3 linked regions of the Oryctolagus cuniculus genome follow. The protein of the gene in region 3 interacts with the protein of the main gene of each other region in a biochemical or structural test. Links are inferred from orthologs where the notes say so. Each region holds a gene or a part of one and is shown on either strand. Other genes may lie near its edges.

Region 1 (3,750 bases), on a different chromosome or scaffold from region 3:
ACGCGGAGAGACGGACAAGTTGAGAGTGACCTTCCGGCCCCTGGAGCACCCCCCAAATGGCCACAGTGGCCAGGTGGGGGCCAGTCTGAAGCCAGGAGCCAGAGCTCTGTCCTGGGCTCCCACGGGTGGCAGGGGCCATCTGCCGCATCAACAGGAAGCCGGGCGGGAAGCAAAAGCAGCTGGATCCAACCGGCACGCTTATCCGGATGCCGCATCCCAAGCGGCGGTTTAACCCACCAGGCTCCAGGGAGGGCAGCTGGGGACCTGCCCCTGCTCTCCGCGCCTCCCCCTCCACTCCTCTCCTCCCCCGCAGGCTGGGCAAACCTGGGCCAGTCACATTCCTCCCCATTCACTTGTAGGAAACGCACATGAGGGCCGGGACCCGCCCGCGGCTGAAGGGGTCTGTTCCCACCTTTGCGACGCTCTGCACGCTGTGGGCTGCGCTCACGCTCCCAAGCGCTCTCCAACCTTCTCCTGGAAGAGCGGGTTTTCCTAGAGACCACGAGGGAGCGGAGCGGTCAGGTGCCTTTAGGTTGGGAGCGTCCAGCTGTTCCAGAGGGCCAGGCCCGTCGAGGGAGGAAGTGGGCCAACAAAGGGAGAGCTGGACACAAAGGCTCCGAGGGCCGGCGCGCTGAGCCGCGGCGTCCTTCCAGGGCAGACCCCGACGCTGACAGTGAGGACCCTACAGCCTGGATGTGGCTCTTATTTTTTTTCTTTTTTAACATTTATTTGAAAGGTAGGGTGAGAGAGGTCTTCCACCCGGAAGTTCACTCCCCAGATGGCCAGGCTGCAGCGTGAGCCAGGGACTCCACGCGGTCTCCCACGTGGGGAGGGCCCGGCCGCCGCCGCCCCCGCCCCGGGCTCCGAGCGCCCCAGTCCCACTTAGACCTGGCCTGGGGCGGCCCCCGGGGCTCCGGCGCTGCACGCCGCTGCTTCTCCGGAAGCGAAAGGCTACGGGTTTCCCGGAACCCCGGCGGCGGCGGCGGCCGGGCGAGCGTGGTTCAGCACCTGGGCACGGGGAGGCCGTGGCATCGGGGAGCCGGCCCGGGGGGCTTCCGCGGCCCTCGCCCTCCTCACGCCCGGCCTCGGGCCGCACCTCTGCGGAAGCCCAGGCGCCGGAACGCAGCCCTCGACCCGTAACCGCCGCCGCAGGCCCGCAGCACGACTCCAAAACCCAGTCCCCAGACACAGCGGACGACCCGGCCCGGCGACCGAAAGCTGGCAAGGCCTGCACCCCAGGCCGCTGCACCTTGCGCGGGCGACTCGTTGGGAGCGGCCCCGAGCTGTCATAACCCACGGGCCATTTTTTGCACATTTCACACTACAAGGGCAGGGACCTCAGGGCTCGACGCCCCCTCCCCCGCCCCGGCTCGCCCGGCGCCGCGAGGACGCATGCGCACGCGCCCGCGCTCGCGCCCGCGCTTGGCGGGCTTAGGAGCCCGGAAGGCGCCGAGCCCGCGCAGGCGCACAGGGGCCGGCGCGAGGGCGCGCGGCGGCGCGGGCGGGCGGGGGGCGCCCGCCGTTCCCTGCGCGGGGTCGTGCGCGAGCCCGGGGCAGGGGCGGGCCACAGCCAGGGCGCAGGCGCAGGCGCGTGGCCGCGGTGGCGGTTGGGGAGGGTTCTTCCGGAAGGTTCGGGAGGCTTCTCGAAAAGGCGCCGCGCGCTGGGCGGGCCCGCCTCTATATAAGGGCGGCGCGGGGGCGGCGCGCCAGTTGCTCCAGCGTCCCGGTGCTGCTGCGTCGCGGAGGCCGTGCGGTTCTTCAGCCAAGGTGAGGGGGCTGCGGGGGGTCTCAGGCCCGGGGGTGTGCGGGGGCGGCGGCGGGGAGCGGGGGCGGCCGGGGGCCCCCTCGGCCGCGGTGCCCGAGCGGCCGCGGTTCGGCCTCCGCGGCCGGGGCCTGTGGAGCCGCCTCCGGCGGGCCGGGGGCGCCGCGAATGTTCTGGAGAGGCCGCGGGGCGGGGGCGGGGCGGGGGCGCCGGTGCGGGGCTGCGGGGGGTGGCGCCCAGCCCCCGGCCGTGCCGTGCCGGCCGCCATGGCGGGGCCGCGGCCCGCGGAGGGCGGCCGGCGGCGGCGCGGGGCGAGCGGGGCCCGGCCGCGGCGTCCGCCCCGCAGCGCGCACGCTCCCGCGCCTGCCGCAGCTCGAAATGAGGTCATCCCTTTGTGAGGCGCCCGCGCCGGCCTCGGGGCGGGCGGCGGGGGCCGTGCGGCGCCTGATGGGCCTCGTGCCCTTGGCAGATGCCCGAGGAGACCCAGACCCAAGACCAGCCGATGGAGGAGGAGGAGGTGGAGACGTTCGCCTTCCAGGCGGAAATCGCCCAGTTGATGTCCCTCATCATCAACACTTTCTACTCGAACAAAGAGATCTTCCTGCGGGAGCTGATCTCAAACTCGTCGGATGTAAGTGGCGGCGGGGAGGAAGGGGCCCTGGCCTCGGGGGGCGGGGGTGGGAGGGCGCCGGCTGGGTGCTGAGGACTTGGGGTCTTCCAGGCTCTGGACAAGATCCGCTATGAAAGCCTAACCGACCCCAGCAAGCTGGACTCGGGCAAGGAGCTGCACATCAACCTGATTCCCAACAAGCAAGACCGAACCCTGACCATCGTGGACACGGGCATCGGCATGACCAAGGCCGACCTGATCAACAACCTGGGCACCATCGCCAAGTCCGGCACCAAGGCCTTCATGGAGGCGCTGCAGGCTGGCGCCGACATCTCCATGATTGGCCAGTTCGGGGTCGGCTTCTACTCGGCGTACCTGGTGGCTGAGAAGGTGACGGTGATCACCAAGCACAACGACGACGAGCAGTACGCCTGGGAGTCCTCGGCGGGGGGCTCGTTCACTGTGCGGACCGACGCAGGTAGGGGGAGGGGCGCTGGGCGTGCTGGCGAGGGGGCCGGGGCTGGCGGGGCCGGCCTCGCGGGGTTCCGCCGCCGCGTTCGCCCGGGCCGGCCTGGCCTCGCGGGGTTCCGCCGCCTCGTTGGCCCGGGCCGTGCTGGCCTCGCGGGGTTCCGCCGCCCCGTGCGACCCGGCGCGCTGGCTTCCCCGCAGGTGAGCCCATGGGGCGCGGCACGAAGGTGGTGCTGCACCTGAAGGAGGACCAGACGGAGTACCTGGAGGAGCGGCGCATCAAGGAGATCGTGAAGAAGCACTCGCAGTTCATCGGCTACCCCATCACGCTGTTCGTGGAGAAGGAGCGCGACAAGGAGGTGAGTGACGACGAGGCCGAGGAGAAGGAGGACAAGGACAAGGAGGAGGAGGACAAGCAGCCCGACGACAAGCCGGAGATCGAGGACGTGGGCTCGGACGAGGAGGAGGAGGAGAAGAAGGACGGCGACAAGAAGAAGAAGAAGAAGATCAAGGAGAAGTACATCGACCAGGAGGAGCTCAACAAGACGAAGCCCATCTGGACCAGGAACCCCGACGACATCACCAACGAGGAGTACGGGGAGTTCTACAAGAGCCTGACCAACGACTGGGAGGACCACCTGGCCGTGAAGGTGAGCGCCCCGCGCCCGGAGGGTGGCAGCCCGGCCCCGGCGCCGTCGCGGTGGTGGTGGTTGGCACCGGGCCTGTGTGTCGTTGCAGCACTTCTCGGTTGAGGGGCAGCTGGAGTTCAGAGCGCTGCTCTTCGTCCCGAGACGAGCCCCGTTTGACCTGTTTGAAAACCGGAAGAAGAAGAACAACATCAAGTTGTACGTTCGCAGAGTCTTCATCATGGACAACTGTGAGGAGCTGATCCCTGAGTACCTGAGTGAGT
Region 2 (3,650 bases), on a different chromosome or scaffold from region 3:
GCCGATGCTGTGGCACAGTGGGTTAAAAAAACTGAAAAGATTTTACATAACGGTCAAGTGGAATATAAAGTATTTTTTGTTTAAAGATTGATTTATTTATTTGAAAGGCAGAGAGAGAGAGAGAGAGAGAGAGAGGTCTTCCATCTGCTGGTTCACTCCCAGGTGTCCGCAGTGGCTGGAGCTGCACTAATCCAAAGTCAGGAGCCAGGAACTTCTGGGTCTCTGATGCGGGTGCAGGAGCCCAAGGACCTGGAGCATCTTCCACTGCTTTCCCAGGCCGTAGCAGAGAGCTGGATCAGAAATGGAGCAGCCAGGACTCGACCCAGCACCCACATGGGATGCCAGCACTACAGGCAGCTGCTTTACCCACTACACCACAGTGCTGACCACAAAGTATTGTTAACACTAGCTTTTGCAAATCTGTTGATTTGTCATCAGGAAATAAACTCTGAGCAGGCTAATTTTGATCTCCTTTGGATGTCAGTAGCTAAATGAAAAGATCAAAGTGGATTAAGAATTTTGGCAAAATCTTGAAGAGAAGTTCTTAATGTGTATTTTAAAAATCTTTACATTTCAGGCCGGCGCCGCGGCTCAGTGAACTCACTTTAACATGGTTACTTCTGTAAAAAAAAAAAAAAAAAAAAAAGGCCGGCGCCGCGGCTCACTAGGCTAATCCTCCGCCTAGCGGCGCCGGCACACCAGGTTCTAGTCCCGGTCGGGGCGCCGGATTCTGTCCCAGTTGCCCCTCTTCCAGTCCAGCTCTCTGCTGTGGCCCGGGAGTGCAGTGGAGGATGGCCCAGGTGCTTGGGCCCTGCACCCCATGGGAGACCAGGAAAAGCACCTGGCTCCTGGCTCCTGCCATCGGATCAGCGCGGTGCGCCGGCCGCAGCAGCCATTGGAGGGTGAACCAACGGCAAAGGAAGACCTTTCTCTCTGTCTCTCTCTCTCTCTCACTGTCCACTCTGCCTGTCAAAAAAAAATAAATAAATAAAAAAAATCTTTACATTTCAATTATTTATTTTCCTAAAGTGAAGAATTGTTCTAAACCAATTTATAAAATCATGTTGATATATTTTAACCTTCTCTTCCAGAACAGAAGAGTCTGTTTTCTCCAAAGGATTGGTAAGATGTCTTTATTCTCATTGTAATTTAAATACATAGTCGTGTCAACAATTATAGCTGCTGATTTCACCATGTGTGTATCTTCATAATTTTAATCTGTAGGAATTGCTGGAGAATGGCTTGTTAAGAATAGAGGACAACAGTCTCCTTTATCAGTACTTGGAAATCAAGAGTTTTCTTACTGTACCTCAGGTAAAAGCACCACAACAAAAGATACTCTAATTTTAACGCATCCTATTTTGAACTTCAGTAAAGTAAAGGTGTTTTCTGATCCTGCTTCCATTTTCTTCTGTTTATGTCCTTTGAAAGCGCTCATGCAGTGCAATTCAGTGGAACGCTGTGTGATGATGGATGTGTTCTGTTATCTGTGCTATATAGTGTGAAAGCCACTAGCTGCTTTGAACACTTGGAATGTGTGGCTAGTGTGATGAGGAGTTGAATTTTAAATTTAAATTAAATTTTGCCATGAGTGACTACCACAATTAGTAGCATAGCCTCCAGTGGAAAAGGATAACCTTATTCTTACACACTTTCTGTGAGAAGCTTAGTTAAAGAAACTCCTTTATTTTTCTCATAACTCAGATTCTCAGAACTCCATCTTTAGGAGTCTACACTGACCTATTACTGAAAAGGCTAATCCACATTTTGTTCCCTCCTGTGGTTAATTTTGCCTAGTACTCTTTGTTATGATATCCAAGTAGGTCTTTAGCTATGAGTATAGACATTTCATAATTAAATGGAATAACATGGCTGACTTTTGTTAATACAGCGATATTTCAGAAAATTCATGGAAAAATGGAATTAAAAGATACTTTTATTTGGTGCAAAATGTTTGAAATCTATCATGGTTTTATTGTATGCATTTTATATGAATCTTATGTATTTTATATGATATGTATTTTATATGATTCTTTGAAGATCCCCTTCATGTGTTAAGGCTGTTGATTTTTAATGAGTGGATTGCATTTCTGTGTTTGATTTCATGTTCTTACCACTCTAAACAATAAACAATTAAAAATATCACTCACTTTTAAAATCACACTTTGTAATATAACACTGTTACTTACAAAATTGATTATAGTTAGCCGTGTGGTAGACTTGGAATGGTAGAATGAAAGGCTCAGGGAAAAACAAATTTACTTCCACTTTTAACTTTCCTTCCTACAATTCTTTAAATTTTTAGTACCCAGTATTGATAATATGCTTGTTTGTTGTATCTGAATTAAAAATTTTTTTTGTTTCCAGGGTTTAGTCAAAGTAATGACACTTTGCCCTATTGAGACATTGGTATGTAAGTAATAATTGGTTACAGTGAGAAATTTTGATAAGTAACAATATTTTAAAATATTTTTTTCATTTTATGTTAACAATATGATTTGTTCCATTTTAGAGGAAAAAGGGTTTAGCTATGCTTCAGCTATATATTAACAAGTTGGATTCACAAGGCAAATACACATTATTTAGGTATGTATCAAGCAAGGGTAGTTGCTAAGTGTGTGGTTGATTGAAAGGCAAGTTAGCCTGTAATTATTCTAGCGTGTGGTATTTCAGTATGTCTTATGTGTAATTCAGCTGTAATTGGAAACCTCATTGTAATAAGTTCTCTTACCTGAGATAGGTAGAGAAGGGGTTTAAATACATATGTGTGTAGGTATTATAAGAATAATGTATATTTCAATTAATTGAAATATTTAAAACCTAAAGGTTTATGTATTATTAAATTAAAAAAAAAAGATTAAACTGAGATTGATAATACTCCTGCTAGAACTTTACATATGTAATGATTTCCATTGTTCACTGTTGAAATTAATGGCTCTGGAGTTATAACTGACAGGCCATTCATTTTAAGTTGATATTAGAGCTGTCAAATAGTGCTGTTTGTGGCAGAAAAGTTTTCTAAGTTTTCTAAGTTAAAGATTTAAATTCCCTGTATAGGGCCAAATAGTGAAGATAGGTGTTATGGGCCTCACAGTGTATTCCAGTTGCTCAGCTTTGTCTTTGTATTAGAAATTATTGTGTTCCAGTAAAACTGTTGTCAAAAACAGACAGGAGGCTAGATTTGACCTGCAGACCTAAGTTTGTCGGCCCCATTCTAGGTAATAAAAATGAGTTAAAAACAGATTTTGATAGTGGTGAAGTGCTACAGAATCTTCTTTGGGACGAGCTAATACTAGCACTCTTGATCCGACCTTCATTTCAATTACCAGTCAGAGCAGGTTTGTGAAATCTCAGTAACTAGTCCTTACACTGGCTTTCCTGCTTTCTTTCTGTATCTTGACCAAGGATTCTCCTCCTTTCTTGAGCTGGTCATACTGAATTTCCTTTCTTTGCTTAATTAATCTAGCCAGCACAAGTCTGCTTTTACAAGGAACAATTTGGGTAGTTTTTTAGGTTGTTAGACTGATGCTTATTCTTGCTGTGTTCAATTACTGCAAATGTATGCAGAGTAATTGTAATATAGCCTAGAGTAATTTCGTGTTTTGTGATTTTGCTTTTAAGGTGCTTATTGAATACCAGTAATCATTCGG
Region 3 (2,596 bases):
GAGAATGCCCAGAAGATCCTGGAAGTTGTGGTGGCATGGATTGGGCTTTCTTTTTCCTCAAGGAAGGTGGATTGAGATTGTCTGAAACATGCCCTCTTGGAGTGGAGCAGACCTTGGCTCTCCTGAGTTAACTTAAATCCACATGGTCTGCACTCACCACCATCATTGAAACAACAGAGCTTCTGGTTAAAGGCCCTGGTGGTCAGATCCATCTGGTCGTTCACTAGGGACTCCTGGCTGAGGGCGAGGTGGTGGTGCACTATCGAGGAGTTCGTGGGGGAAGGATCTGTGTCATCTTGGGTCTTTGCCACAGGTGGAATTGTTTGAGTTCAAGGGAGAGGATCTGACAGACGACGAAGACGGCGGAATCATCCGCAGAATACGGACTCGGGGTGAAGGCTATGCTAGGCCCAACGATGGTGCTATTGTGGAGGGTGAGTCAGTTCCGCTGAGTCTGGGATTTGGATACTGATGCACACCTGGGGACCAGATGGTTTTGGCTAAGTCACTTCCCTTCTCTGAGCCTATTTTCTTAACTATAAGGTTTGGGATTGGACAATACACTCTTAATATCCCTCCAGGTCTGAGACCACAGCAGGGGTATCTTGGGGACAAGAAGTGATGGGTGACCTAGGGAGGCTGCTGGCATCCTTCCTTGGTCCCCTGCCCTCTCACACCCTGGCATACTGCCTCTTGCATGCTAGTCGCACTGGAAGGGTACTACAAGGACCGGCTCTTTGACCAGCGGGAACTCCGCTTTGAGGTCGGCGAGGGGGAGAGTCTGGATCTGCCTTGTGGGCTAGAGAAGGCCATTCAGCGCATGGAGAAAGGCGAACATTCCATCTTGTACCTCAAGCCCAGGTGAGCAGGGGGTGCTCTAGAGCCAGTGCCAGACCATGAGTTGTAGAGCTGGCCACTTGTGTCCTTTCCCCTTCGTGTGCTGGGTGCAACTCAACCACATGTGTGTCAAAGCGTGGCCACGATTGTCTGCCTTGGATCAAAGCATATCTTTTCAGTCATTGCTGCAGATTGTCTCCTGCCAACATTAAGATTTTAATCTCCCATTAATTGAGTCACTCGCCATTTATTGAGATGCACCTGTTAGGTACGATAGTGGTGCTGAAAATCTCGAGGTTCAGGGACTAACAGAACATTGTTCCTGCCTTCCTAAATTAGTAGTCGTACCACTGTGTGCTCACAGAAGATGCTAAGGGACCACCAAGGTCAGGGAACATTTTGCCAAACAGGAAACAATGGGCCCAGGTCTGAAAGCATGGGGTGGGGAGGTAGTTGAGAGGAAAGGGGGAAACGTTAGGGCTGCCGAGCTGACCCGGAGCCTTTCTAACCCTGCAGTTACGCGTTTGGCAATGCTGGGAAGGAAAAGTTTCAGATCCCGCCATATGCTGAGCTGAAATATGAAGTCCACCTCAAGAGTTTTGAGAAGGTGAGTTTGCACGGCGTCTTCCCTGCCCACCCAGGCGCAGATTCCGCGGGCGCTGACAGCTGTGTTTCTCCCCTGGGTGCTGGCAGGCCAAGGAGTCCTGGGAGATGAGCTCGGAGGAGAAGCTGGAGCAGAGCGCCATCGTGAAAGAGCGAGGCACCGTGTACTTCAAGGTGAGCAGACGGGGCCGCTGCTAAGCACACCCCTGGGAGGGCTGCCCTGGGGGCTTGGCACCTGCTGTGTCTGAGCTCAGTGGTCTCAGGGGCGAGGAGGAGATGGCCCCTGCCTGTGGGTCACAGGTGTCTACAAGTTGTGATAGACTGGTGACACCGAAGCTGTGCTGGGTGCCTGAACCCTCCCTCCCACTGCAGGAAGGCAAGTACAAGCAGGCTCTGCTACAGTACAAGAAGATTGTGTCTTGGCTGGAATACGAGTCAAGTTTTTCCAGTGAGGAAGTGCAAAAGGCACAGGCCCTGCGCCTGGCCTCCCACCTCAACCTGGCTATGTGTCACCTGAAGCTACAGGCCTTCTCGGCAGCCGTGGAAAGCTGTAACAAGGTGAGGCCCCTTAGAGGCTGTGGAGGCAGCGAGCACAGGCAGGGCCAAGGAAGCTTCCTGAGCAGGGCAGGAATGGTGGGAGTGCAGAGACAATGAGCCCCGAGTCGGGGGCTGTGAGTAGCACGCACCTTGGCTTTGGTGGGGAGAGATGGGGGAAGCGCTGGGTGGGAAGAACTTCGGTGTTCACCCAACGTGGTTCCCAGCCTCTCATCCACCGGCTTGATCCTAAAGACAATGGAGGTGGCAGCCTTCCTCCTCTTTGACCAGATGCCTGCTGTCGTCTTCCTCTGCCTCCTGAATGATCGAGGTTCCTACCTAGACCTCAGTCTTCTCCCTTCAATGCGCCATACCTTGTTCTTTGTGGGCTAGAGTCAGCCATTTCCGTTCCTCTTCATCCTGTGGAGCCCAGCCTTGGTCAGGCGGGCTTCAGGGCCTGCCCTCTCACTGTGCTGCCTCTTCCCCGCATCCTCAGGCCCTGGAACTGGACAGCAACAACGAGAAGGGCCTCTTCCGCCGGGGAGAGGCCCACCTGGCTGTGAACGACTTTGACCTGGCACGGGCTGACTTCCAGAAGGTCCTGCAGCTCTACCCCAGCAAC

What was found.
Region 1: the proteins of FKBP4 (region 3) and HSP90AA1 form a complex in vitro, tested with the Homo sapiens proteins (4 studies listed by BioGRID and IntAct). The link is inferred for Oryctolagus cuniculus from reciprocal best matches to the Homo sapiens genes FKBP4 and HSP90AA1.
Region 2: the proteins of FKBP4 (region 3) and GLMN form a complex in vitro, tested with the Homo sapiens proteins (2 studies listed by BioGRID). The link is inferred for Oryctolagus cuniculus from reciprocal best matches to the Homo sapiens genes FKBP4 and GLMN.

What each region holds. Positions count from the first base shown.
Region 1 is NC_091451.1:45,357,050-45,360,799, reverse strand, and holds the start of HSP90AA1 (heat shock protein HSP 90-alpha), read left to right. Parts: upstream 1-1,522; 5' UTR 1,523-1,767; intron 1,768-2,231; coding exon 2,232-2,393; intron 2,394-2,483; coding exon 2,484-2,850; intron 2,851-3,041; coding exon 3,042-3,490; intron 3,491-3,578; coding exon 3,579-3,744; intron 3,745-3,750. UniProt on the Homo sapiens protein: Molecular chaperone that promotes the maturation, structural maintenance and proper regulation of specific target proteins involved for instance in cell cycle control and signal transduction.
Region 2 is NC_091438.1:78,356,378-78,360,027, forward strand, and holds part of GLMN (glomulin), read left to right. Parts: intron 1-1,091; coding exon 1,092-1,122; intron 1,123-1,224; coding exon 1,225-1,314; intron 1,315-2,367; coding exon 2,368-2,409; intron 2,410-2,512; coding exon 2,513-2,586; intron 2,587-3,621; coding exon 3,622-3,650.
Region 3 is NC_091440.1:106,513,291-106,515,886, reverse strand, and holds part of FKBP4 (peptidyl-prolyl cis-trans isomerase FKBP4), read left to right. Parts: intron 1-313; coding exon 314-434; intron 435-704; coding exon 705-861; intron 862-1,353; coding exon 1,354-1,444; intron 1,445-1,530; coding exon 1,531-1,614; intron 1,615-1,812; coding exon 1,813-1,998; intron 1,999-2,470; coding exon 2,471-2,596. UniProt on the Homo sapiens protein: Immunophilin protein with PPIase and co-chaperone activities. Component of steroid receptors heterocomplexes through interaction with heat-shock protein 90 (HSP90).